Lepisosteus oculatus: one gene and its partners. The protein of the gene in region 2 purifies or fractionates together with the protein of the main gene of each other region. This does not show direct contact. Links are inferred from orthologs where the notes say so. Each region holds a gene or a part of one and is shown on either strand. Other genes may lie near its edges.

The links.
Region 1: the proteins of hspa12a (region 2) and akap12b purify together in Homo sapiens (affinity purification with mass spectrometry; 3 studies listed by BioGRID and IntAct, with this or other methods). This does not show direct contact. The link is inferred for Lepisosteus oculatus from reciprocal best matches to the Homo sapiens genes HSPA12A and AKAP12.
Region 3: the proteins of hspa12a (region 2) and epb41l3a purify together in Homo sapiens (affinity purification with mass spectrometry; 4 studies listed by BioGRID and IntAct, with this or other methods). This does not show direct contact. The link is inferred for Lepisosteus oculatus from reciprocal best matches to the Homo sapiens genes HSPA12A and EPB41L3.

What each region holds. Positions count from the first base shown.
Region 1 is NC_090697.1:48,385,816-48,393,158, reverse strand, and holds the start of akap12b (A-kinase anchor protein 12b), read right to left. Parts: upstream 3,012-7,343; 5' UTR 2,836-3,011; coding exon 2,722-2,835; intron 1-2,721. UniProt on the Homo sapiens protein: Anchoring protein that mediates the subcellular compartmentation of protein kinase A (PKA) and protein kinase C (PKC).
Region 2 is NC_090699.1:32,062,441-32,070,535, forward strand, and holds the start of hspa12a (heat shock 70 kDa protein 12A), read right to left. Parts: upstream 3,037-8,095; 5' UTR 2,317-3,036; coding exon 2,277-2,316; intron 1-2,276. UniProt on the Homo sapiens protein: Adapter protein for SORL1, but not SORT1. Delays SORL1 internalization and affects SORL1 subcellular localization.
Region 3 is NC_090701.1:55,495,462-55,503,152, reverse strand, and holds the start of epb41l3a (band 4.1-like protein 3a), read left to right. Parts: upstream 1-4,637; 5' UTR 4,638-4,755; intron 4,756-5,516; exon of another isoform or gene 5,517-5,705; intron 5,706-7,691. UniProt on the Homo sapiens protein: Tumor suppressor that inhibits cell proliferation and promotes apoptosis. Modulates the activity of protein arginine N-methyltransferases, including PRMT3 and PRMT5.

The DNA of each region.
Region 1 (7,343 bases), on a different chromosome or scaffold from region 2:
TATCTCTCCAACAAAGATACTCTCAGTGAAGTTTGTGTTTTGAAGGTGTCCAGACAAGGTAAAAGTTACCCACTACAGTTACAATTTATTTAGAATTTATGTGTAAGGGAATATTTTACAAGAAATGCAGTGAATATTTACAGTTACATTTACATTACATGAATTAATTACACACAATATATACATATCTGTATCTATAAAAAGTCCTCTTGTTAATTAAAAAAAGTAATCCATTACACAAGTAACTTGTTACTGTAATTGTTTAATTTTTAAATCAACTTTCCCTAACATTGATTGAGAACATAGAAATGAAAGACATAATAGAGTGCTCTGTGTTTTTATGACAACTCCAGTACAGATATTGTTTAATTGATGCAGCATATTGACAGCTGGCATCCACATCACTCTTTTAGCATGACATTTTTAATGTGGTCAAGTTTGTAGACTGGGCAGTTTAATGCTGTAACACAGGTTCCAAGCTGTAGTGAGTATGGAAGAATTTTGAAGTCTGTTTTCCAAACTTTTAGGGGTAGACAGAGACTGGGAATCTACCTATAAAATTGCCTTAAAATGCTCTTAATCTATTAATCTAATCCTGTCTGAATGTTTAATACTACGAATTTAATTGACTTTTGTGTTGATGTGTGTGTCTAAAAAAGCTGATGTGTGTGTCTAAAAAAGCATGTGAGAAAAAATTTGCTATTTAAATTTGGTCTAATAGAGGGATGAAGTCATCGAGAATGAGATCTGAAATTAAGTAGCTTGTAGCCTGGAATGTACGTTAACATAAGTTGTAACATAGTTGCATCTCTGTATTCTCTAACACAGTGAGAAAAAGTACAAGGAAATCTTCCAGAAAGGTGTTATAATTTTCAAGGACTGCAGTCTTAAGTTACCAGTAGGAATTGGGAATGACCTTTATGGCATGTAACGCAACAGATAATTAGATACAGCGAATGCAATGGAGCAAACATGAGAACATTCTCATTGCCAAACTTCAGGAGACATTCACGATGAGTTGGAATAGTTGCAGTAATGTGCACAATGAAACTGTTCTCTCTCATATAACGATGAGGGAGCACCACTGTATCTTACCACTGAAGACTAGAGAGTACTCCATTACGTTTTGGAGCTGATGCATTGATGCTCTGAACTTGCCAGCTCAGTACTGCATGAGGCTATCAGCAACTTCATTGTGCTGTAAATGGTAAACATAGGTATCTTAATAAATTAGCCCATAAACAAATAACTGTACAAGTTATACTGAAAAGGAAGCAAACATGAAACATCTGAACTTCAAAAAAATGAGAACTGATTGGTTAACTGTTTTTAGATGTGCTAAGGTAAAAATAGCTAAATACATTAAGATACCTGAGATAATGATAATGATAATGAGATACCTTTAAAACTATATTCTTTAATCTGCTCCTATTTCGTGGAGAGTAGAGGAACTACATGATCAAGATGTCAAACCCTTAATAAGGCCTTGTCTATCCAGTGGTATTTACTGGATCAAGCCACAGATACATTATTTTTTCACTGTCCCAAGTAACTCCAGAAGTCCCAGGAAAGCACTGTAAATTCATAAATTGAAGTTAAGTAAAGGGAGTTGTAGAGGGCATTTACTTATTCATTAAAAACCAAAAGGTACAGCATGAAAATACTGTTGATACACAACTACTTAGCAGGAATGGAGTGTGACAGCATTTTCCTATCGTTAATCATCGATGGAAAAACAGTCAAAACATCTCTATATATTAGAGAAGCTTGACATCAGACCACGACTGGTCACGTCCCAGTTGCACTACGTCAGCAGCCAGAACAAAACGGCAGCGTTCTCCTAATAAGTACTTAGAGGAAGTGAAGAGGACGATGCACAGAATCTCCACTCAGAGAATAGGACGTTTCTTTTGGTAATTACAAATAACTAACGCACCGCACTGCACAGAGTCCTATAAATATACTGTCTGCTACAAACCTTCTTAAGAATCCCATCGCAACTTGCGCTGCAGGACATTTTCTAAAGTAAATAATCATTTTCAGAAAATATTCCTCCTTACTTCTTAAGATACAAAGAAAAACCACTAACATTCTTCAGAAGGTCTTAAAACAACATCAGATTTGACTTACAGTTCAAACAAATTTGTATAAATATATAAAATAAAAATACAGAATACACAATAAAGATGAATGCGACGTTTATTATACAAAATTCTTATTTGAGCCAGAACAGCTCTGTATTCTCCGGCCACTGGATCCAAGGCATAGGACCATAAATCAAACAGGATACTAGTTCAGCGTTTTTATTACTGCGGAGGCGCAACTGCAGTCTCAGTATTTCATTACATAGCAGCGCACAACTGCACTTAAAACGCACTGTATAAAATAGCCTTTTCTCTCAAACCAACAGCAAAACTGAATCTGGAAGGAATACATACTGGGAAGTCAATGTATAAAAAGCCCAACCGTCTGAGAAATAAATGCGTTTGTCTAAACGTTTTAAGAGAGGCCAAGGGAAATAAAGTATAGGAAGCACTGGATTAAGACACTTTTCGGTTCAACTCCTCTACCAATTATTACTTCCCCAATTGGTGCCCCCTTATGTTTCCTTCAGGAAACATCGTTATTGTCACACGAATGCTGGCCTGCAAGATCAAAGTCCTGGAAGAAATCGGACTTTAGCGAGAAATCTGTTGCGACACATAGGATGCAACATTTTACCTTGGCTTCAGCACCCTGTCCCTCCTGGATTTCATTCACCTCCGCATTCTGCGGCTCACCAGCTGTAGCTTCTTGACTCTTGTCCGCATGCTCTGCAGAGGTGGCTGCTCCCATGGTGAAAACCAGACCCTTCTTCTTTTCTTGTCCGCCCGAGAACAATTAAGCACAGTGGCGACAACGACCAGATATCCAGCAACCCAATGCTAACTGCAAACCCCTCCTGGGTCGTCAGGCTCTCAAGTGATGCAATCAGGATCCCTGCAAACTCTTTTAGAAAACCGCCTCCCCTTCGCTATATCACATGCACAGGAGCGAGGCACGCCTTGCAGCATCAGATTAAAAAGAAAAAAAATGTCCTGGGAAGGTGGCTGGTACCCTTGCACTGAATACCGAGCAAACGCTCATAGTTCACTTCCCAACATCACCAGGCAAGGGAGGACCGAAAGCGTCCTTATTTGAAAACATTTAAATGGACCTGATCAAATATGAGCTCTGTCGCCTTAATAAACAAACTTCTTATTATTCCTTTTCCAAATCAAGATCCTGCAGCGGCAGGATTGGTAGAATAGTCTCCCCTGCAGCATTTAAACGTACAGACGTAAAGGGAGAAAACGCCACTGATAAATAATAATAATAAAAAAAACTCTTAATCTGTTTCGGAGGTGGAAGATCATGAAATGTAAAAAGGTCAAGCACACATTTACATGAACTCCCCTTCTACATCAGGCACTGCAGTGAAAAAATTCCTGTATCAGCACCGCGCTCATTGCGGGATATGAGCTCTACCACCTCTCTCGGACATCTTCAATTACATTTTGTGTAGATTGGCGTTTTTCCCCTCACTTAAAAACAACAGTAATAAATATTATTTTTAATTTAGTGGTGTATAATGTGGATACAATTTGAAAGCAGAACACTTAGAGGAAATACCGTAATTATTATTAATAATACTTGCATTATAATTAATATAACTTGCAAGACTTAAAAACGCAGTGTTTTATTTAAGAGTTTATTCAAGAGTTTTTTTTGATCATTTGAAGCAGACGACATCAAATTATCCAAATCTGCAGCTAAAGTTCAGTGTTCTAATTTTCTCGTTTATCTCCCTCTTTTAAATACAACAACACACTGTAGTCTGAATAAAGTGGTCATAATGGGGTGGCCAGAAAAACCGGACACTTTAATCCAGAACGGAATTTTTAAATTGTTCTGAAACTTTAAGTAGCCTAATCAACAAGTAGACTGAGCACAAGATTTTCGCATTATTATTAGCTGATTATCTCATCATGATATTAACAGTTTTATAACATTGGGAAACCGCATCTTTAAATTATTCGTCGCAAAAAATAAATTGTTTCCCATAGCCCTACTTTGCACAGACCCTCTGGATCACAACAAAGTAGTGGTGGCAAGACAACAAACATCTGATTACGTGTCATTATTTAAGTAAAAAATAGATTGTGATATTGTGAAATGTACAACAAATACGAATAAGTTTGCATAAAGTCGCTGGCTATACTTTTTTTTGTATTATTAATTTACTGTTGAGGTAAGATGAGTCGAGGCCAATTAGTAGTCTATTTGGCTCAGGTGTAGCAGATATTGCTTTTATGGTACCTGAGCAGCTTCAAACATCTCTTATTCATTGATCAGTTTATGATGGACAGGCACAGGTGGAAATGACACTGTATCAGATACTTATTTTTTTCCTTCAGCTGAGGTCAACTGGTTACATTGCAGGCAACACACATTAATAAAGGCAGTTCTGTTACTCAGACGTTGGTACAGGATTGATACCAATGATAAATCCCATTTGATCCTTTTAGAGTTTAAACAAGTTTACAAATATGCCCCAAATAGAAAACTGAAACCAATTAGCTTGTGATTAAGAACTCAGCTGGTGCTTAACACAAAAAGAACCTTCCCAATGACTCTACCACATATAGGAGATGCAGAAAAAAAGAGACTTAAACAACACACATACATGGAAGAAGTTCTGACAGAGTCTGGGTTACATACAGTGTTTACAAATGTCTGTGGTCATTTTCATAGAATTAGATGTACCACATCTTTATTTCACCATGCTACTGCATCTGACAATAAGATAAAAAGCAGATTTTGTCCTCTACTCTATGACGATAATGATCTCAAACTCATTTCCAGAAAAATGTCAAACAGAAACGATGCTCTGGAGTTCATCAGAAAATGGCTGTCTTGAAACAGAGATCTGGCTTCAGACCCAGAGCACATGTTCAACAGGAGCACTGGAGTACAGAATAAAATGTCTGAACTCCAAGTTCAAAGGTGTAATGTTAAAACATGAGGGTTAAAGAAAGTACATAAAAAAATGACAGCGAAGATGGCATCTCTCTTATGATACCTAAATTGGCCACACTATGTTATAGTATCAACATTCTTTGACACATATTTTTACTTGTAGGTGTTGTTTACATTCATCTGTGGTTCTTTGAACTACAGTACTTAATGTAATGTATATTGTTTTGTGCTCAAACTGAATAAACAACAAAGCTTGAACTCTTTCTTTTTTTGTAAATATGCACCAACAAAGTACAAACCTGTTAAGCCGCTACAATACTTAAGCTGATTTCTTTATTATTGAATTTTTTTACTTTTAAAGTAGATCAGAATGGTGTGTTACTACCACAATTACCAATTCTTATAAATCCTTTTAAGTCTTGGATATTTTGTGTAAGTTAACATAGCTGAGAGTTGTATTTTATATTAGAAGAAATCCCCTTTTCTGAAACAATTCCTTCAACAGTATGTTCTGCCACAGATCTATGATAGTTCATTCAAGAAGCCCAATTAATAAATCTGTCAATGAAATAATAATACAGCTAACAATGAGAAAGATGGGAAATTGAGACTTTTAGTGTCAACGATTAGGTATATGACTCAAATACCAGACAGCAGCTCATTCCTTGAGAAATTTCAATGATTGTGAAACGCTTTTCACAGAAGTTTCAGAACCAGTGTTAAGCAGAATATCTACGTCTTAAATTATCATGGACTCCTCTTCCAATATAAGGGTTTAGAAAAGATAAAGCAAAATGTTATGGAGAGTTGCACATGGCACATCACTTGACTGCAGGATTCCCCTCTGCAATCAAAGGTGTCATTGTTTCATCTATTCGATGCTACTGGTGAACAGCAAAACAGCTTGAAGAAATTGGATTTAGAATTTTTTTCATTTCTTGTCCCCTGTGTACCATCCTAACAAACATTCTATTATTTCAAAATCAGATTGATACATATTGTTAGGTGAAGAGACACATAATGTAGTACTGTAATTCCAATTACGGAACTGTCCAACAGTAAGTCAGAAAAGAGAAAAAACAGAGGATCCAGAATTAAATTATGAAAGAAATGAAAGTTCTGTACAAGCACATGACTGTTGCTTCATTCAGATTCTTTTACTGCGGAAAAGAAGTTAGTGGATCTGCTCTTACATAATTATCAATTACAATGAACAAAGTGGCTTCTCTGTGTTTTACCTCAATTCAGTGTCATGGGGCTTTAAATAAATTGTGGTGTAGGAAGAAATCGATTTCAATCTTTGTTCTCTGCTGCACAGGATCTTGGAATAAAATCTAAGGCAAATGAAAAGTTTTCATCTTTTTCTTCTAGAGACGAAATTCAACAGTTGAACTCTATCTCAATAGGCAATAGTGACCCCTGTTGAGAAAGGGCCAAGGAACATTTTTACCTTAATTAAGACAATAACTCCTTTAGATTAGTGCACTGGCAATCGGCTTCTGCTGGCTGGCTTCATCTAATGCAGAGGAATATTTGCTTACAAAACACATTTGAAGGACAGACACACAGTATCAACTGTCCACGCCATAACTGCACCCAGTGCTTTGAAAGCAAATAGAAATGTACAGATCAGGAGTATATAACATTAGAATGGTTTAACAAAAAAAATCGAACAAAAATGGTTACAGAAGAAAAATGATTCATTATTTGGGTAAAGAAGGTATTCATAACAAGAGTCAGGTGTACAACCTCTATCTTATTAACTATATTTCCCTTGGAGTTCTTGTCACCAGTATTCAATGTTGGAATTCCAGGTTCGGCCAACGCAGGAGAATCAGCATAAACATTTTAGAACTGACTGACAGTAATCTGCTCACTATACTGGCAAACACTTAAGCTGGAAAAAGAAATGGCTGACCCAGATTTTTATGTCATGAACTCTGAAGTGGTGCTCTGTCATACCATATACTCAGAAGAAATAGAGTTCCTTCAAAAAGCATTAATTTTGTGTGTCTATAGAAACAACAACAACAACAACAACAACAATAATAATAGTAATAATACTTTTTCTCATGTTTTGACTGTTTTACAGAAATATGTCACTGGAAAGAGAGTTTTATTTCTCGAACCAGGACTGCCAAAATCTCTCACTTATGGTTTCATGCTCTGTTAAAAGTATTGAAAAACCCTGTTCTGTGGTTATGTAAAATGAAAACATGTTTGTTTCTCATATGGTTTTACTTAAAAGTGTTAAATAGAAATTCAGGGTAATGGCTGTAGTCATTCTCTTGGCAGGCCGTGTCTTGTCATTATATTTGGTAAATATTATTTACTTAAAGTAAGAT
Region 2 (8,095 bases):
AATGGGGCACATAGAAGGACTACATCCTGGGCAGGTTAATAGTGTCTTGCATGACACTATTATAAATTGGGCACAGTTCACACACACCCATTGACCAACTGGTTAATGAAAACCACAGCAATACAGAAATCCCTCAAGCATACAGGGAGAACGCCAGACATAAGACACACCATGTTATAATCAAACACAGGATCCAAGATTTGTGAGGCAAACTTGATTTTCAAATCAATAAAAACTCCTTTAAACTTTTCAATTTTTTGGTCAATCTCCACGAATAAGCATATCAATTAGACATCTTGCCCATTTTAATTTCAATATTAATTAGTTTTACGCAGTAAAGCAACATTTAGTACACAGGTAACACCAATAACAGAGATCCTCAAGAACACTGCAGACACAGAAATAAAGGCCTAAAACAAAACTGCTGGCAACACGGCTTCTTCACTCATCTCATGTTTGGCTTATACAAACATTTATATAAATTGGAAATACATTTAGAATAGCAGATTATTTACTATTTCCTTAGGCCCTGCCTCATACATGTGTGTTGCATTACCCCACAGGCAAATAAAATAGATTGGTGATATACAGAGAGAAAAGGCCTGTATCAGCAGTCAAATGGACTTGCCCATGATGGAACACACACTTCTTCAATCACAGTTATAACAAATAAATGTGTTAATCCACCCATACTTGACAGACTATTTATTCTACCCCATCATCCATCATTCATCCCAGGCAACTGCAGCAGTAATGGATTGGTGAGAACGCATTACAGCATACTACTTGATCTGTTTCTGTAGCTTCACTGCAGGGGGATAACAAGTGACAGCTTAGAAATCTGACAACTAGTGAGGCAATTCTTTCTTTGAGAACCTGAAAGCATGAAGATATTTTCAACAGATATGGAAAACACCAAATTGAAAATTCTGGCAATGTGGAAACTGTTTCAAAGGCATGAATTGCACAAAAATACTGCAGGCTTGTATTACTTTTACCATGTAGCAATGCCTGTCCATGCAAAAGCTTAGTCTGGGTTTGTGTGCTGCACTATTATAATTCAGTTTAGTTTATCAGTAAAAGAGATTTGAATGGGATGTAAGGACCACTCCCAAGTGTCATGCATGCTGATGTCAGACAGTCTATTGCTCTGTCCTTTTGAAGGGCAGACAGTGCCTTTTCTTTCCTAAAACTCCTGCAGGAACACTCCCTTGTAAGCTATTGCAAATCTCATCTACAACACTGCCAATGCAAAAACATGTTCATCTAAGCATCTCATAACTTTTCTCTCTCCTTAACAGGGGAGGGCATCAGCTACAGTACTGTATGCCACAGAAACCATCCTTAGAGCAACAGGAATAACCACAGCAGAGTGAAAGGAATCCTGTCATTGCGGTACAACAAAAACACTATTAAATGTAGAAACTGTGTCAAAACATCCCTGCCGAGTTGGTGGTAGAAGTAATCACAGAAGAAAAAGACAAATGGGTGAAACATCCAAGCCGCAGTATTGTTTTACCTGGCAGGGAGCAGCGCATGCAGTTTTGCTGCATTGAATCTGAATCCCCTAGGGACCGGCCATGTGACTCCATTCCGCACCGCCATGGATGTTGGAAGTCAAAACTCAAATGTGATTTTTCTTAACCTTTAGATTTTATCCCTGTTTATGGAAAGGGACCACGTTTTTTTCTCGTTTTTACCTTAAATATCCATTGTCCAGATTTAGCCACTCACGTAGTTCTAATAACAATAATTCACTTTAATCCGTATTACTTGGTAAAAATTGTGTTTTCAGGTTTTTGGAACAGAATCACGGAATTATGGAAAGTACCCACCGCCAAGTTCGCCAATTAAATTTTCCCAGCATTGAGTAATAGGTTTTGAGCAGTGCATGTGTGGCCATATTAGCATTCCGTCAATAAAAGGCTCATCAAAACCCTTAAAGGAGCACATAAAATGCATAATCGGGTTTGAACGTTTCCAACTTCAAGCCTTCAAAGTGGTCTGTCAAAGCTTGAAATCACAACATACTGCACAAGCTTGTAGTTAGTACATCGTTCCTCTCGGTTAACATGGGATTCGCAATACATTACCTAACCTACTTTCAGAATCTAGGGAAGGAGGAAAGAAAAAATGGGGATAAAACACAAAAATGCAGTCTTGAAGACCATTTGGGCTATTGCAGATGTGCACGCCTATCCATCTCATCACTGGCCCTCCTCGCAGTACTACAGCATAGCTTTACAGGTCTGAATCATAAATAGAATAGTTTTTACCTGCAGTTCCGGTGTCTGTCGCCGATTCTCTCTCAGTCATTGTACCCGCTGTTTGATCTTTCTTTGAAGACACCCCAAAAGAATTAAACCATTTAGTCTTAGAGGGGAAGAAAAACGTTCTTGCTCACTTTGCAGCCTGTAGCGTTGGGTGATAAAAGCCTACTTTTATGCTTCGCTGCAGGGGCTCTTTCCCCTCCGTTCTCTCTTCTCCCCCCTTGCTCCTAAGTGCCTTCCCACGGATGGCGAGGCAAATTTCACATTAAAAGAAGCCCAGACTGACCCGTGAAACAGCGAAATGCCTCTTGTTGAATGTGGAAGATACCGCAAAAAGAAGACCGAAGCGATTGCTGGTTTCTGATTGCCAGTTCTTCCGTGGAGCCCCTCCCCTCACTCTTCACTACGGCTCCCAGGCAAGGAAATACTTCCCATTCCGCAGTACTGCAACCTGAAAGCTGAAGGGATGCATTTGTGATTTGTGGAGTAGCACTATTTCGTACTCCCTTCTCCCATTGCCAAAACATAAGCTAGTCAACCGCTGCGAAAACAAGTTTATTAGCCATTCATGCTGTAATTAGAACAGAGTGTTCGATAAGCACGGACGAAGAACTGTAATTGATGCTATGAGCTTTTGAGCAATGCCGTTGCAGTGTAGTGTATTCAAGGGGACTGCGGATGTGCGTGCACCAGATAGCCTACATTTACAGTATGTGCACTTGTTTTGCCTTTTGCTCCGTATAGGTAGAACGCTAACTGCTAGAACGATTCCAGCCTTTCTTTTTCATTTTGGGTGTTTTGGTTTTTTCTCTCACTGTCTGAATGTGTGTGAGTGGTGGGTGGGATTCTTGCATTCTAATCATCCTTTCCTTCCCGCAGAGTGTCGCATGAACACTTGGGAAGTTTTAAGCAACCAGTCTGGAAGTGACTGTCAGTTGTATTTGTCAATGTCAATTTTCTGTGGTTCAGAGCTAAAGTATGAAAGAGTAAGGAGGTTGGCTAAAATGGGACTTAACAAATGCCTCAAATATTTGAGCTGAGTTACACTGAACTTTATCACTATAATGCATGATCATGAGGATGTAAGTATATGCTGTCGTTATGTCTTAAGTCTGACCAATACATGGATTGGGCTTTTTATAGCTGGGCACATGGTTGAATGAAATACACAGAACATAGGACCATAGGCAGTGACCACCTTTTGTGGCGGTAGTTTACATTATCCATAACATAGAGTATAACATAGGAACAAGTAATATGTTTATTCCATGCTGAAAAGAGAAGAAAGCATGGAATAAATCTATTACTTGTTCCTTGCAGCCTACACATGCTGACGCAGCTACCCACCTGAACTATAGTACAATATATACTAGCACTGCTAGTACTGTTAGTCCTCCATTCTTGTTGATTTGAAAACATATTCCTGCTTTGTAAATGAATATAAAGTGAATACTATTTAATTCTAGAATTATATAGTTATGCATAAACGTCAGTGGTATAACTGGGTTCCTACTTTCACTTAATATAATAAAAGTGAACTTAACACAATAATGACTAATTTATTCAATAATATTTGTCGATGGTTGTACACTGTACTGTTAAACTGTCACTAATACTTGACTTGATAACAATGTCCTTGATACTCTATTTATCAGGTAAAAGCCTTTGGCCGGAATAGAAGAAGAGTTTTGCAACCTGGATCATACTGGTTTGAATCTAGACTGCATCTTTCAGTCAGTCAGTGTTATATCGAATAGCACCCCTCACGGACACAAACTTGTCATTCCTTCCTTAAGGCACAAAACTCTTCAGTGGCCATGCTAAACTAAATCAACTCTGGCCAAATTGCTTGACATGTATAGTACTGTATGTAACTAGAGGTTTGCCACTTTGTTGCACAACAGCTCTTGTTCACAACCATTACTGGGAGGCATTGCTGAGGTCCGTATCACAATTATTTCAGTTGTCAAAGCTTTTTTACAACCATTCTATATATACAGTTCATGTCAAATAGGAAATCAGCCTGACAGCATGTACTATATATCAGATGAGAAGATTTTGTGTCTTTGATTCTCTTAATGTAGGTAGCTGAAAAATACTGTGTCCAGATGGGATGATTACAAATATTGATGATTTGGTGCACTATGAAGAAGAGCACAAATGAATGAGAATCAGGGAGTTTGCAGGTTCTTCCTATGTTTGCGTGGATTTCCCACAGTCCAAAGAGATGCTGGAGGGTTAATTGACCTCCAGGAAAACTGGCCCTGGTGTGAGTGCGTGTTTTTGTCGATGAGTGTCCTGCACTAGACAAGTGTCCCATCTAGGGTGTACCCTGCCTGGCACCCATTGCTTGCTGGGATAGGCTCTGGCTCAGCTGCAGCTCTGAATTGGATAAAACAGTTAGAAAATGTATGGATAATATGGATAATAATATATCTGAAAACTGCCCGCACACATTCATTTGAATATCATACAGAAGGATAGGAGACAGACTGGACATTGCAATGGCTTAAGGGGTCAGCTGTCATGAGCTAGAAATAGAAATTTGATGCTGACCATCCCTGGACACATGCGGTGTGCTAACACTCCTTCCTTGGAGGGGTGCACCTCCAAGTGCCCACCCAAGGAACAATTAGGTGGACACCTCAGTGGAAAATGCCCAATTAAGGTAACAAAATAGCAGGCTAAACATATAGCAGTCCAAGAGGACCATCTAATATATCAGGAGTAGGACTCAGTCACATCCCTATCACTTGTCCTCCATAGCAGAAGATGAGAACAGCATCATTACTTTTCAGTTTCTTTTGAAAGTTAAAGTTGTTGTTTTCAAAAACTAATGAAAAAGGAAACAGTATTTCATTTTGTGAATTTTAACCGGAATGTAAAACTTTTCAATTTTATTTTTCTTATTTTCACTAAACAAAATGAATCAACAACAAAAGCTGACTAAAAACAGCTGCCAGTTCAGTTCCAATTTTCTCAAACTAATGTATTGTGGGCTGCCACTTCTAAATGACCCAGCTCCACAATTGCCTGACAGTTTGGTGTGGGATTTTGAAGTGTATGTTGTATGGGAATGGGTTTACTTATGACATCCAGCTGTTCTCTAGGTTACCCAATGACTTGATCTACAGTTTACAGTTTACTTTGGAGTTCGGATATGGTGTAACCTGGCACTAGACACAATTTGTTGTTCCCAGTCTTTAGAAATTGGTGATCTGTGTATGACCTACTTGAGAATGCTGTCTCCCACGCCACAACAAGTAACCTAGAGTCTGCATATCACCAGGTTAGAAGTGTGTACTAGGGTGTCTGTCACTGTTCTTGGCATGCTGAACCCTGGGTGTGTTAGGGGCATCCTGAAATGTAGAGAGTTTAGGTAGCACAGAAGCTGATATTTTACATCTGTGTAGAACTATGGAGACGCCAGGGTTAAATAGGGAAAAGGGTATAAGACACAGCTAGGACAAATACAACTGGGAACACAACAAGAAAGGTAGGAGCACCCGCTAGAGGAGGGATGACGACCTTGAAAAATTGTCTAACCTCTCCCAAAGACATGCCTTATATTCTTGCATGTCATACATAGTTCTATAATTAGTTTTCAAAGTCTGTGACAGCAATAACACCTTTAAGTTCTCTTTGAAGTTTCTAAACACTAAAAAGTATATATCTTTCTATCTAGAATGACAAAATGCATCTGGTCAAACCAGTTTCCTACCCAGCTGTCTTGCTCCAATTCCTGCTTGACCACTCTTTTACAAATTCTGGTCCTGAAATAAGACTAAAAACATTTACATAATAGCAGTCATTTTTTTTATTTAAATGCTGAGCAGCTTCACACGTGGAACGAATAAGCATGGAAATAAGCTTCTAGAAGGACAAAAGCAATCTTTTTTTCAATAACAACAATCAAATGTCTATTTGTGATATATATTTGTTATATTTGGTAAACAAGAGAAGTATGTTTTATGGAATGCTGCTTTATATCTTTTTTAACTTAACATACAACGTGCTCCAAAGCAATGTTGTGTTTTGGAGGAAAAAAAAGTTTTGAGTGTATGTGGCAATTAAAATGGATGTCAAATTTGACATTTGAAGTTCAAAAGCTGTGTGATCCATATAAACACTTTGGCAAATTAAGTCTTTGTAGCAATATCTTAGTAGTATTTATAGCAAATTAAATGAAACAAGAGAGTCATCTTTTTTGAAACACTTAATGGATTTGTAACAAGCAAGGAATGAAATACAGTAACTTTAATTATAATTTAGAGACTCCTACCACCATCATAGTTCATTTACTAGTCACTATTTCAGAGAATGCCAGTGCTGCCAAAAATGCAAACTAAGAGGTGGTGGTTTGTGGTGATGCTGTTCTCAGGAACACTTTAACTAATATATCATAAAGGATCTTGAGTCAACCACAGAGTGTGTTTCCCTGCAACTGAAGTGGCTAACATTGTCCAGAGGACACTGGACAAATACAAGGGAATAGCAACAGTAGCAAATACAAGTGAATACACAATTGATGCTGTTTGTGTTGGGACAAGGGATTTGAACATAAACAGCACTCTTTACATATGCAAAACATTCAAAGAAATTAGAAATCACCGAAGAGCTGCTCTAAGTCTGTATTTTTCCCAGAAAGGTGAAGAATGGGCGTGAATACTGTACATCACATTGCTGAGGACATGGTGAAGAAGGAAAGCTTTCAATGGCAGAGGTCATCTGTACAGACATGACATGGTTTCAAAAACATTAGTGAAGAAGAGAAGCGTTATCCTAAGAAAATATGGAAAAGAGATAAACACAGAGCACAGTCAAAAACAAAACCCAAGCATAAAATAAATGGCCAGGTAATTTAATGCTTATAGCTAAATGCCAGGAGTAGTATGAAAACAATACAGGAAACAGAAGATGCTGGATTCACAGTGTGCTGTAACTGGAGTCTATGAAACATGGCTAATAGCAAGTGGTGACAAATCATTAGTGTTATGATAAAAGAAATGTTGATGTAGACTATACTTAAAAATGAGCATTCAGGCACATTAAGTTAACACAGATGAATCCAGAGAATCAGAATCTATACAGGTTCACAAAGAAAACCTTTCAAAAAGAATAATGTGAGGAGTATGCTACAAACCACACAAGCCAGACATTAATGTTAAGTCTAATTGGACATTTTTACTTACAATCAACACTAAATAAAGAAAACAAAACAGAGAGAACCATTTAGGAACTGCATTCATAAGATTTTGAAATACATTTTAGATACAAGAAAAGCAGACTATGCTGGTAAAAAAAAACTAAAATGAGATAGGATATACATGAAATCAGTAACTGTTTAAATATATTAAAGAAAAATATCCAGAAAGAGAAATCACCATATAAAATGAGTACAAAATATCAGGATCAAGTTAAAGAAGAGCCAAATTCCAAAGCTAAAAGATATAAAAAATAATTATATTATAATTATAAATTATATATTATATTATAAAATAATATTTTTTCAGCATTACAAGAGCTAATGAAAAGTAAGGATCAAGTAAGGTGCTTAGATTTGAAAATGATAATCTTCAAAAGATTAAAAGGAAATTACTAATTGAATATTTCGCTTATGTGTTCATCAAGGAAGAAATCAATAACATTCCTTAGGCTGAGGAAAGACAGAGTTCTATAAGAAATAATATGAGCATAGAAGAGGCTGATGTTATCCTGCAAATTGTACATAAAGAAACCAAGAGATGTTGTTCACAGGTCATTAGTGTCACGCCCTCTGCAGCTAGTGGGCGCTCCTACTCTGTCCTGTGCCTAGTTTCCTGTGC
Region 3 (7,691 bases), on a different chromosome or scaffold from region 2:
CAGACTGATATCACCCTTTTTCATCCAAAGGATGTGCAGTGCCTTCCTAAAGTTGAAACATCTCCAGTACATGGTGATACTAATGCTGACAGTGGGGAAAATGTTACTCATATGCTCATTTTTCAATATAGCATTTGACAGCTATACATAGTTGTTAGTTTTTAAAGTACTTTTGAGAACACTTAAGGTTGCAGTTGTATACTAATTCTGAATTAACTTTTGATTTTCCTTTTCTTCCATTGATTATTTTTTGTCTGCCTTGCTTTCCGTGCTAAACATTGCGAAATTCACTCAGATGTGTTCTTTTTCTTATAAGAAAGGGTGTAAATGGATGCAAATCCTACAAATGTACACAAGCTGGTAAAATTAGAAAACTGGTACGAAAATATGTTTTCTGATATGTACAGTTGTATAATAATAGTCAAAATGATCCTTACAATTTGATTTTTTACACTTTTCTGGATAATCCCCTCAAAATCGCTTTACAGATAATGAGGACTCTCCTCCACCACCTGGAAGATGTGACGGCAGTCAAAGTGCACCAGTACACTCATCACACACCAGCTCTCGGTGGGGAGGAGAACAGAGTGATGAAGTTTATTGATCAAAGGGGATTATTAGGAGGGCATGATTGGTATAGGCTGGGGGGCAATTTGGGCTGGACAGGGGGGTAACACCCCTAATCTTTTTGAGAAATGTCCTGGTTTTCAATGACCACGGAGAGTCAGGACCTCGGTTTTACATCTCATCCGAAGGACGGTACCTTTTTACAGTAACACCTCTTCAAGCAGCAGCCTTAGTTTCTCCCAGGAGGTCTCCCCTCCAGGTACTGACCAGGCTCACACCTGCTGAGCTCCTGTGGGCTGCCAGCTGTGAGTTGCAGGGTGATTATAGCTGTTCGAAAAACAATTGAACATTTTATGTTAACACATTTTTTAACCCTTATTTTGACAACTTTTAAACAAATGTTTTCCAGCCTTTCCCCTAATTTGTAGAGAATGTTTTTAATATGGCATAAATGATACTAGTGCCGAAATTGTCACGTTGTCACCATCTTACTGTAATTGCCTATGAGAGGAACAAACCTACTTTTCTGAATTGCACCAACTTAGAGCAAATGAATCTCTTATACTGAAGTATGCTCCAAGCATTAAGAATGTTGGGACCTTCCAAACCAGATGGATTTTGCTAAGACCTCGATTTGTAATGTGGTGATTTTTTTGTGGGTCTTTTTAGGGACCGCAGCAGCTGACTCATAGCTTTAACATCTGAAAGAGCAGGTCAGCTCTTTGAGCTCCAAACCAAATATTTTAATGTTTTTCTGTTTTTTTGAGAAATTAAAAAAGAAAATCAATTAACGTCCTCCATTTCATTTCTTCACTTCAGGATCCCAGTGACATTTGCTACATTGTGGCAGTAACGGCTTGTTTCGTTGGTGCTGGTTTTGAATCGTTTAAAAACATGAAGCTTCATTACACTTTTTCTGCATGACTTAAATAAACACTCAATAAGAATTTTAATGATCATTTTCCCTAGATGATTCCAATGTGGGCAGCTATTGAAATGATCTGACTACCCCTGAAAGCTGTGTATTAGTCATTTTCAAAGTCACTTTATTTCCAGAGTGAGTTATTTGTCCTAGATTTGATTCCAGACCAGGGCACTATCTGTACTGCGTTTTCCACGTGCCTGTGTGATTTTTATTTTTTTTTAGGTGCTCTGGTTTCTTTGCTCTTTCCTAAAACATGCTGCCTTACTGTAAGTGTTGTCTCTACACTTTCCCTGTGCACACGCAAGTTTGCCCTGCTGTGGGCTGGTGCTCTGTCCTGGAGCAGTCCTGCCTTATGCCACCTCTGAGAAGTTCCCCTCCTCCAGACACCATGGTGTTTCTGCTGGGCAGCTTGTTTTATTTTTCCTTACCAAGGGATAGGCACTTTTCTGGTATGGAATGGGTGTGAACTGATCTAAAGAGTATGATGGGGGGGCAAAACAAGCAAGTTTGGTAAACCTATAGCAGTTTTTCAGATTGCTTAACGTGCATCTTAAACTGAGCATGGATCTTTATAGCTTACACCCCTGTGTAAGGAAAAGTGCCCCTGTTCTGTTGTAAACGCACTTCCCTTCAGTTGTCACTTTTCGCCCCCGGTTCATGATTCAGTGTTGATTCTGAAGATGTCCAGCTGGTTGACTTTGTCATCGACTTCAATTACTTTAATCATTTTCAGTACTTGAATTGGACCCCTTGTGATCTTTGTTCAAGACTAAAAAGGTTCAGTTCTTATAGCCCGAGGAAGACATTCTTTTGTGATCAGAAATGTACATGTACTGTATGGGGCATCACTCCTCTGGACTGATTTCAGAATAGCAGTGTGTTGCAGAGTTTCTGGTGTAAAATAAAATTATCGTGGTGATTTCAGTCTTCTGCTTCCTCCAGAATGTTCCAGCCCCCTGAAGGAGAGGAGCAGTATTTTATTGTAATACAATGGCACTTGTCTGGGCTGTGTGGGTCAGGACCTCAGAGGTCCGCCTAAGAATGTGGTTTGAATCCAGAAGTATATGGTGTTATCCATAGAGATAATGTGTGCATTTTTCTTGCTATTAAATTACCCATACTTCCCCTTGGTTTAAAAAAATGTTTAGTTTAGGAGATACACAAGTCTTTCTTATAGTGCTTTAACATAGAAACCTTCAAGAGCAACTTTTTTTCTTCCTTAAAAAGTCATTTAAGGATATTTCTGTTTTGCACTGTAGTTTACAGAGTGCTACAGAACATGATTTGTACTTGCATAGGGAGTAATTACTGGTTTTAAGTGACCGCACAAGAGTAAGAAGGATACCAGCACTGAGTGCAACACTGAAGTCCATAATGCAGGCTTTCTTGATGAACACCATCCACCCAATATCACTGTAAAAGCTTTGCTGGGAAGGCAGGATGGCTGTGAATGACTTACTGTACAGTATATATTGAAGTGCATTTTATTTTGCCTCCAACACATGCTCAGACTTAACCTTGAAGTTACCCTCTTGTTGAGGGTCACAGTAGCGAACACCAGGTCTGAAAAAGCATAGCAATCTGTCGTCGTGTGGCGTGTGTGATCTGGACCACAGCTGGCAGCTTGTGTAGCACCTGTAATGTCTCACCAGTAAATAAAAGTTCTCAGGTGCCTTCTAACCCCTATCGCCATGGTCATGGTTCTGGAAGATGGTACCTCAGCAGGTGTGGTTGTGTGGTGTGCTTGAGCACTCGATGCATAAAATATCACAGTACATGTGCTTCTCAAGACGGGGCCATAAAGACGTGTTCTACCTGGAATGGACTGCTGGCTTTCGGACTGGGATTTGGTCATCTTGTCCTCATGATGGCCTGTCCACACTGTGTGACTGTAGCAGGTGCTGCAGTGGAAGACGAGGGTGTCACTTTCATGTCATTCCCTAGCTTTCTCGAGTATTTGAATGATCTCCACTGTAGGGGTGTAGGCCTTTTGGTACTGGATGTAGCATTTATCTTGGCTGTGTAGGTCAGGCACTTGAAAGTACGTGAGACAGCAGCTAGGATTTGGGATTCAACCCCACACACTACATTAATGCCATGCCTTGGACCTGTGGATAGGCAAGAGCCTATCAGTTTCTAAGCTTGCTGCGGGTTTTGGCGAGAGGGAGTTTGACAGGTCCTGCTGTGTAAGATGAGGCTGTCATAGTGATGTCGCAGTCATGGTGTTCACATAATTTCACTGTAACAGGCCCCCTGTACTCTATGAACCCTGTTATACACACAAAAAAATCTCACATTATATTTAATGAATTCTTAATGATGCCTAATTATTTATAAATTGAATACAATGTAATGCATGCAGGATAATGGAAAAAATGCAAGTAGAATGTACTGTATGCTGCGATACTGAATACATGGTATGGTTCGTCAAGACTCAGAACCCAGAAAGGAATTTTTGTCAGTTAAGCAGCTCTTTGCCTTTGCCAGGGTTCATTTAGAATTTGTGAAGACTAAATGTGTGCAATTAGTTACAAGAGTTTAATTATACATGAATGAACACTGCAGCTGGCGGGTGCTGTTAAAATAACATATGTCCTTTTAACCCATCGTGGCCAGGAACACAGTGCAGGAAACTGACCCAGGGACACTTTTTTCAAAAGCTGTTAAAGCTTATTAAGCGAATTTAAATTCAAACGTTCAGCGTGTTCCAAAATATATACCTTTGCTGCCCTGAATTACAAAAAAAGGACTCCGAAAATCTGTTCAAGAACATCTTTATTTTTGAAAGAAGATCATGTCCAATTTCAGACGTTCAGTTCTCGGAAATTTCACCAAAAAAAAAAACCCGAGTTAAACTGCTTATTTGGCCCAGCAAGATAATTCTGCTCGGGAGAAGTGGGCATCCCAAGTTCCACTCGAGACCGTCTACGTGTATTTTCAGTCGAACGGGGTTTGCTCTGCTTCGGCGCCGTGTTCGTTTTGGGGTGACTTCGGTGGCCATCCCTCGCCCCGCTAGGTCCTGCAACACGCGTGTGGGTCGCCCGTACCGGCCGTGACTCATCCCGGAGGTGGGCTCTCATTCGCTCCCGCATCTTCTGCTAGAATAAGCGGAGGGTGCGCTGGCTGTCCTCGTGTATCCCAGAATGCCGCGCTGTCCCGTATCTCCTGCTCAGCCCGCTGGCGCTGGCGGTGACACAGCTGGCGAGCAGAGAGCGGACTGAGCTGCAGCCTCATCAGCCGAGCGGGGGGACACGGGATACCCGGTAAAAAGCTAGCAACTTATCGTATGCAAAAAAAAAAGGGGGATCTGCGGGCTCACGTTGTGTTGCATCGAAAGTGTCAAAGCGAAAACGAGAATTTTTGTAGCTGTGTTTGCAGGAATGAGGTAGGGAAGGGGGCACACTGTACATTTCCTGGGCATGCATCGCCCTGATACTGTATACAGTATGCGCGTCCTGTTTTTTTTTCTCCCCACAAAATAAATCTCTTCGGGCAAATCAGTGCGATTCCTTTTAGATGTGCCAGATTGTGTGTGTGTGTGTTTGCGTGTGCGTTTTTTTTTGTGTGTGCCTGCGTTAACGTCTACGGTGGCTATTTAAATACATCCGTGCACTCGAGGTTGTCGCCGCAGGAAGAAAAATCTGTGGTTGATACTTTGATACATTTAGAAGCTGTGAAGTAGCTGCAGGGAATTCATTTTGCGGAAAAAAGAGACTCCGGTCACTGAGTTTATTTCAATGCGGAGCACTTGAAAAAGTTTTTCTTGTATCCGTTAGGAAAAAAAAATGAAGACGATGTTTTAGCTAATAACGGCAAGGGTTTATAGCTCGTTTGCTCGCTTCAGTATTTTAGTGGCTGAAGTACGCGAGTCGCCGCCTCGGATGTCCAGTGCGACTCTCCTGCTTTCGGTCACTTCAGACCTGACACGACACCCCAGCGGTGCTCTGTGTGTTAGTTCTGCAATGCGGTGGGTGTGGTTTGGATGTAGTAACCGGGAGATGTGAACCTCTGCAGTCACAGCACACTCCACCGCCCCCCCGTCTGACTTGGCATTTTTTGCATCAAACAGAAATACACACCTATATTCTCTGTACGTGTGTGAAAAACGCTCAGTCGTGACAGCCCGTGACCCCCCCACGGCCACTAATACTCCATGCTACCAGTGTACGGTGAAAAAACAAGGGAGCAGTCTGGACGAAATAGCCGGTTATTGGTAAGTCTCCGGGAAACCAGATGGTTTTCATCAAATGAGGGGAAAATCGGCGGAGAGACGGGCGATATTGTAAGTCGCGCTTTGATTAATTTTCCAGCCTCGGCAATACAGTATACTCGTTTGCTTTGATGGAAATGGTTTTTCTGTGTGTTACTCAGCGTTTCACGTAACTAACCTTGGTGTTGCGATTTTATACGGACTTTTTTGTGACTTTTTAACATGCACATTCAAAATCCCTACTGGTTGCTTTGGAAGAATTTTTATTAATTGTATTGCATCGATAACTATTTCATCCTCTTAATTTTTCTAACGCTGGAGTGGATTGCTTGGAAACTAGCGATCAATTACCCGAGATGTGTTTTTTTTTTTAATGAAGGGGAGACTAGAAAAGTGTTAACCTTCAACTGCTAAGTACAGAATATATACAGTGCATTCTGATTTTACTGCAATGATGAGCCTGGCTTCAGGTTAAGAAGGTGAAGTACCTCCTACAACGCAAACCAGAGCGAATAGAGGTCTTCTTTCTGCGAAGTCATTCACAAAACATTTAAATTTTTTGGTTAATGTTTTGTGCAAAAAAAAAAATCGACACGCTTGAACCCAGAAGTTATCTTTACGCCGGAAGCAATGCTGCATTCGATAAAGGAGATGAAATATTTTAAAGTGTTTCTTGTTGTGGATGTCTCTCTTATCTAAGCAGCAAGGGTCTCTTGATCCTGAGGGTCTGGCTAATATTTGTCCTCCTGACAGCTTGCCATTTTGACTTATGGTTTTCCTCCTTTCTTCTCGGGCCCACCCTGAGGCTCGGCAGAAACAACGTGAACTCGCACGTCTGCTCACTAATGACCGTAGACTGTGCCACTGGGCACGGTGGCTGTTCTCCCATGTACTGTCAATTATAAAACATTTCAACTCATCTGAAGTAAGTGGCCATCATAACTACATACGGTGTTGCTAGTGGTCCTCCTCCCGAGAAATGAAGCTATGCCTGTTATATTTATCACAGAGAGAAAGGTCTGAGTGTATTCATCAAATGTACTTTTACAGCACCTAAGCAGGCTGACAGAATGCCCCTGACAAATGTGTTCACAAGGGAGACAAAAACGGCATTAAAAATTAACGGGGCCAGTCTGTGTTGCTGTGGAATTAGATCAAAGACCTTATCTGATTTTTTTTTTCCAGGTATACAGGAAAGAAAAAAATCCAATATCCGGATGGACTTTTATCTTTATAGAAAAAGCCGTAGCGTACTATTAACATGTAATATTAATATCCCATTTTTTTTCCTTTTACTTCGGTTCGTCTAAAAAAAAAATAATTTCCATATCAAGTCCTGCTAAATTGACTATTCTGTAGACCTGCCTATAAATAAATAGGTATTTCAGATCTGTAAGAAATGTTCTACTCATTTACTTAGTATTTCAGGTCTCACCTATTTTTAAGTGCTGCTGTGTTTATTTTCCGTTATAATACGTTTCATTTTGACCTAAATGCTGATGTCACATGGCGGGTATTTCCACAGTCCTTGAACGCTGTGGCAACACAGATGAGAGTAAGTAGTCGAAGGGATAGGGAGAAAAAAAATGAAAAGGCTGAGATCATTAACGAAGAGGGGAATTGCACGGTCAGTTTATTTTTTGGTTTCTTAATCGTTTGCCTTGAACAGATGAAAATGTAAAATGTTCTAAGAATGGGGAAGCTGGAATTTCTGGTGCTTCCCATAGTGCAAAGCTTATAATACAGACTGTAGCACACAGCAAGTCTGGCAAGTCACCGTCACAGACAAGCTTACCGTAGGTGTCAACAAGAATGGGGAAGGTACCTGACTTAATGGACTATTCTGGAATCAGCTCTTAAAAAGGTTCAAATCATCTGCTTTAGATTAAATCAAGATTAAAACATTGTAATTTTAGATCTTATTAGCTAAAGAACACAATTATTTCTAACCAAATATAAGCTAGCACAGCTCTGTTTTTAATTATATTT